Saccharomyces cerevisiae S288C: one gene and its partner. The main gene of each other region encodes a partner of the protein of the gene in region 2 in a complex. Each region holds a gene or a part of one and is shown on either strand. Other genes may lie near its edges. A codon is read from its position in the direction of its gene.

Region 1 (2,903 bases), on a different chromosome or scaffold from region 2:
TTTACATTCTGCAATACAACACAACAACAAATATTAACTCAATTATTATTATTTATAATTACAAAAACAAAACAACAAGTTTGAGACTTTAATATCTTTTGATTACTAAAAACAACAAATTTCAAATGAACGATACGCTATCAAGCTTTTTAAATCGTAACGAGGCTTTAGGGCTTAATCCACCACATGGCCTGGATATGCACATTACCAAGAGAGGTTCGGATTGGTTATGGGCAGTGTTTGCAGTCTTTGGCTTTATATTGCTATGCTATGTTGTGATGTTCTTCATTGCGGAGAACAAGGGCTCCAGATTGACTAGATATGCCTTAGCTCCTGCATTTTTGATCACTTTCTTTGAATTTTTTGCTTTCTTCACTTATGCTTCTGATTTAGGTTGGACTGGTGTTCAAGCTGAATTTAACCACGTCAAGGTTAGCAAGTCTATCACAGGTGAAGTTCCCGGTATTAGACAAATCTTTTACTCGAAATATATTGCCTGGTTCTTGTCCTGGCCATGCCTTTTATTTTTAATCGAGTTAGCCGCTAGTACTACTGGTGAGAATGACGACATTTCCGCCTTGGATATGGTACATTCGCTGTTAATTCAAATCGTGGGTACCTTATTCTGGGTTGTTTCGCTATTAGTTGGTTCATTGATCAAGTCCACCTACAAGTGGGGTTATTACACCATTGGTGCTGTCGCTATGTTGGTTACCCAAGGTGTGATATGCCAACGTCAATTCTTCAATTTGAAAACTAGAGGGTTCAATGCACTTATGCTGTGTACCTGCATGGTAATCGTTTGGTTGTACTTTATCTGTTGGGGTCTAAGTGATGGTGGTAACCGTATTCAACCAGACGGTGAGGCTATCTTTTATGGTGTTTTGGATTTATGTGTATTTGCCATTTATCCATGTTACTTGCTAATTGCAGTCAGCCGTGATGGCAAATTGCCAAGGCTATCTTTGACAGGAGGATTCTCTCATCACCATGCTACGGACGATGTGGAAGATGCGGCTCCTGAAACAAAAGAAGCTGTTCCAGAGAGCCCAAGAGCATCTGGAGAGACTGCAATCCACGAACCCGAACCTGAAGCAGAGCAAGCTGTCGAAGATACTGCTTAGAGCAGCTTGAGATTGTCTTAATCATTCTTTGCTTAACACATTTCAAAACATCAGTTTTCTTCTTTTAATGTCACTAATGAAACTTAATATTTAATAATCTAATTTTAATTTCTTTATGAAATATGCAAAATAAATTATATACACAAACACAATAATTAATAATCTAATCTCATTTTTCCAAAATCAAGAAATGTTCTTACTGCTTCCATGCCTGAATAGTCTAATCGATAGTAGGCCATTTCAATTCTTTTTAGTTATATGGAGACGCAAACACCACTTTATTTTAGCGTACCCTACCAAAATTAAACGATAATATGGTATTTTTATTCTCATTTGTTACACTCTATTCTGTATCACTGGATACATTCGCGGTAACTTGTTTTATAAAGTGAGATGGGATTTATGACCATTAGATGCATATAAAAGCTTCCAAATAATAATAAGATATTGTGACTTTTGGTGAACTAGATACGCTTTGAAATTCTTCATTTGTAATGAAGCAGGATTCACATTCAATATTTTGTAGCTTACAATTGTGAATGTTGCGTTTTCCTACTTTTTCCTTTCATTTTTCAAAGCATCGAGCATTTTTTTCATTTCTTCCAAACTCATCCTTTGCCTTTCAGGATTGATAATACTATTGTGTCTTTCCGTACTTTCTACCAAGTTCAATAACTCGCATATGTTTTCTCTTTGAGATAATAACTGAAATGCTGTTAAATTTTTCAGCGTTACATTGTTGTAAGCTCTTTCAGGATTCATTGAGCTGATTGTGTTGTTCTGTGACATACGATATACTGATACTCTGTTCTAAATAACACAATCCTTTCGTTCTATCATAAAATTCAATGTTATAGGCTCATTTTGTGCATCTTATGTGGCGGATTAATTTTTTTTTTTTCAAAAAATATCTCGCGAAGTGCATGAGTTCTGACTATTTTTTAAATGCGATGATATCATTGATAGGGTGAAGATAGTCTTCAACAAACTTAGTAAGGGGCACCAAAGCGTCATGGACATCTTGAAACTGTCAGATTTTATTGGAAATACTTTAATAGTTTCCCTTACAGAAGATCGTATTTTAGTTGGAAGCTTGGTTGCTGTAGATGCCCAAATGAATTTGCTATTAGATCATGTTGAGGAACGTATGGGCTCCAGTAGTAGAATGATGGGCCTAGTCAGCGTCCCTAGGCGTTCCGTTAAGACCATAATGATTGATAAGCCTGTTCTGCAGGAGCTTACTGCGAATAAAGTTGAATTGATGGCTAATATTGTTTAGCGCATATGGTTCTAATAGTTTCCATAGTAACAATTGCTTGGCAAAAAAGGTCTGGCTTCGAAAGATATATAAACGAATATGAACTGGACTGAACTTAGATATTTTTTTCTGTATTAACTAAAATTTAGCGCAAATAATAACAATATCAACAATATCTGCAAGGAAGAACAATGAGCTGTACCACTGATAAGTTAATACAAAAGTACGACGCCCTTGTTAGGAAAACCACAGAACATAAATTCGCTAAGGAACTATGTGCCGGAACATTGAAGGACCGTAGTTTGTACATCTATTTATCACAAGATCTGCAATTTTTTGAAACTAGCTTAAGGTTGATATGTAAGACGACTTCTTTAGCACCAACTACTCACGCTTTAATAACCTTAGCCAAAAAGATTGGATTTTTTTCTAATGATGAAAACTCATACTTTCATGACTGCTTAGAATTATTGGCACCATCCCTCACCAAGGAAGAAAGAGATAATTTTGACAATAAAGCG
Region 2 (2,936 bases):
TCATCTTCATTTGGTGGAGAAGTATGAGAGTGATATTCGTTTAGACGTTTGAAATCAGAGGAAGACAATAGATCTTCGCAAAAAACAGTCGCGATGGAACCGAAATTTTTAACCCATTTATTTCTTGTTCGTAATTCATTTTGTTTGAACAACTCTAAATCTTGATTAAAATTTGAGATAAATGACAAAATTTGTTGGAACCATGATAGCCTACGATATTTTTCGATTAAATAAAGCCCATATATCAGAGGCAAATCTTCTACCTGTGCAAATTCTACCTCATATTTCTTGTATAGCTCTAAATCTTTATTACATTCATTCAATAATAGTCTTTTAATACCTAGGATTTCCATCTGGGTGAATGCTATGTTACCCAAAATGGCTACTGCATGCTTTTGTAGACTTTTTTTTAAATCTATTAGTTCTCCTATTTGTGAATACAGCGCTTGTGATATAGTGAAGAGAGTTTTCACTGATTCTTTTTTATCCTTTTCCAACATCACATTCATGCTTTTCAAAAATTCTTGACTATTGAATTCTTCTTCTTCTTTATCAAGTACATTTCTGCTTCTTGTTCGCATTTCTGATACCAGTACCTCAAAGCTCTCTGCCATTTGGTCTTCAAGCTCGAATTTAGATTCATTCGGGGTAAACATTTGCCGCAGTCGATCGATGTTTACTGTTATAATATCTCTAAAACTTGCATTTTCGTCAATTTCCCTCTTAATTTTATTCAGCTTACCATTGATTGAATGATTTAGAATCTTTACAGATTTTTCGTTCTCCAGGAGAGATTCAATATTAATGAACTTTTGTAAAGAATCACCCTCTAAAGCAGTCAACTTACTCAAGGTGTCATTGAAGCATTTTTCCCATTTTGAAGTCATACCATTGTCTACCAGCTGATTTAAAAATTGAACGTTTGAGTTATACAAACTTTCTACATCAAAGCAGTACAGCTTCAAATATTGTGAGCAAACGGTTAAGCCATCAAAAATACGCTTAATATGGGCTATTATGTCTGGTATGAGGCTCTTAAAATAATGTACATCTATTTCTAAAGCGCTTAGCCAACCAAGGTTCGTCGTCAGTAAGCTAGTTACGGAATGGTAATTTAAACGCGAAAGATCTACGTCTGCGTCCTCCAAAGGCGAGGGCATAGGCTTGATCATAATAGTATCGCTACCTTGGTATTGAGATATATGACTATTCTTAATTAAATATTCCAGAGTCTCTGTCAAGTCGTTGGAATTAGGGGAGTTCATGGGATTAGAATCCTTAGACGTTAAAAGATTTGTTGGTGTCGGTTTACTAACAAGTGAGAATAGTCGTCTGTCGTAAACGTAAAAATCATTTAGAGTAAAAGACCTATTAATAAGCAGCTCTTTAAACATCGACGGTTTTAGTTTGTTACCATAAGGTAGTAGAATCAGCAGCTGATCGGGAGGAATCTTCCATTTCCTAGCAATGAACTGTTTAAATTTGTCCAGGGAAACGAAAAAATCAACATTCGTAGTTATACATTCTCCAGATATTGCATTTATGATAGTGGCTGTTGTCTGCAGTGGTGTTATTTCTTGCTGGGTAGGTGCAGTGCTATATTCATCAGCGTCTGCCATGATGTATAAAAGAAAATAAAAGAAGTACTTTCCGAACAACAACAGTACACTAAAATAATCGTTGTTCAAAGGAGGACTACTTTGGTTCTGATTTGAGAAAATGGTACTCAAATAAGGGCATCGCTATTATATAGTTCCATTCCTACCAAGAAACCGGGTAGCCAAAAGCGATAAAAAGGCTCTCCATGGCAAGCCTTATTAAAAATAATAATCATGAAGAACAAAGTTTCACAAGAGATTACAAGATAAAAAAGCCACTACTACAGAAAAGGCGTTGGGTCAGGACATGGAAATAGTGTACAAGCCATTGGACATACGTAACGAAGAGCAGTTTGCTAGTATTAAAAAACTAATAGATGCGGATCTATCAGAGCCGTACTCGATATACGTATATAGGTATTTCTTGAACCAATGGCCCGAGTTAACGTACATTGCCGTTGACAACAAGAGTGGAACGCCTAACATACCCATTGGTTGCATAGTGTGTAAGATGGACCCGCATAGAAACGTGAGACTGAGAGGATATATAGGAATGCTAGCCGTAGAGTCCACATACCGCGGGCATGGCATAGCAAAGAAACTAGTGGAAATTGCCATAGATAAAATGCAAAGGGAACATTGCGATGAGATCATGTTAGAAACAGAGGTGGAAAATTCGGCGGCTCTAAACTTATATGAAGGAATGGGTTTCATCAGAATGAAACGGATGTTCCGCTACTACTTGAATGAAGGGGACGCCTTTAAACTGATATTGCCGTTGACTGAAAAGAGCTGCACTCGGTCTACGTTCCTAATGCATGGCCGGCTGGCCACATAAAAGGAAAAACACTCGATGATGATAAAATATATATTAATAATACAATTTTTTTATTTATTTATTTAATCATATGTATAGATATAGAAAAAGGGCAGTAGAGAAAAGAGGAATAGAAAGGAGAGAGATAATAAAGCAAGTTTCAAAAAGAACAAGAGGAAAAGAAATTAAATCACACAGACAAAAACGCGGGGAGGAAGTATCCCTAAGCCAAAGTGGCGTTATATAACTCCTTTTCGGATTCATATCTCTTCTTATCGGCCTGGGCCTTGGCCTCGTAAGGCTGCTTTTCCTCTGGCGTTAGAGCCTTCCACTTCTCACCCAACTTCTTGCCGACTTGTCCAAATGTGATATCTGGATTTTCAGAACGAACAATATCTCTGTTTTCGTTAGCGAAAAACATGTAGGCGGACAAAGCCCTCTTAGGGGCATTTGGGTCCTTCTTCTTTCTAGTGGTTCTCTTCTTAGGTTCTCTTGGGGTGACCATTGCGACTGTGCTTTAC

The links. Proteins that work in one complex are often made in the same cells at the same time.
Region 1: the proteins of MAK3 (region 2) and MAK31 are in contact, whole or in part, in a crystal structure (PDB 6YGA), measured with the Saccharomyces cerevisiae proteins. Residues at the interface, in NP_015376.1 of Saccharomyces cerevisiae: Glu13 (codon at 1,942), Ser32 (codon at 1,999), Ile33 (codon at 2,002), Tyr34 (codon at 2,005), Arg37 (codon at 2,014); in NP_009948.1 of Saccharomyces cerevisiae: Ala30 (codon at 2,224), Val31 (codon at 2,227), Asp32 (codon at 2,230), Gln34 (codon at 2,236), Asn36 (codon at 2,242), Leu37 (codon at 2,245), Leu38 (codon at 2,248), Ser57 (codon at 2,305), Pro59 (codon at 2,311).

What each region holds. Positions count from the first base shown.
Region 1 is NC_001135.5:154,330-157,232, reverse strand, and holds MAK31 (Mak31p), read left to right. Parts: upstream 1-2,136; coding exon 2,137-2,403; downstream 2,404-2,903. Other genes in the region: HSP30 (Hsp30p), read left to right, coding at 126-1,124; HTL1 (Htl1p), read right to left, coding at 1,677-1,913; PET18 (Pet18p), read left to right, coding at 2,574-2,903. UniProt on the Saccharomyces cerevisiae protein: Component of the NatC N-terminal acetyltransferase, which associates with the ribosome to acetylate nascent protein chains in a cotranslational manner.
Region 2 is NC_001148.4:663,055-665,990, forward strand, and holds MAK3 (peptide alpha-N-acetyltransferase MAK3), read left to right. Parts: upstream 1-1,905; coding exon 1,906-2,436; downstream 2,437-2,936. Other genes in the region: autophagy protein ATG11, read right to left, coding at 1-1,619; NHP6A (high-mobility group nucleosome-binding protein), read right to left, coding at 2,639-2,920; YPR053C (uncharacterized protein), read right to left, coding at 2,734-2,936.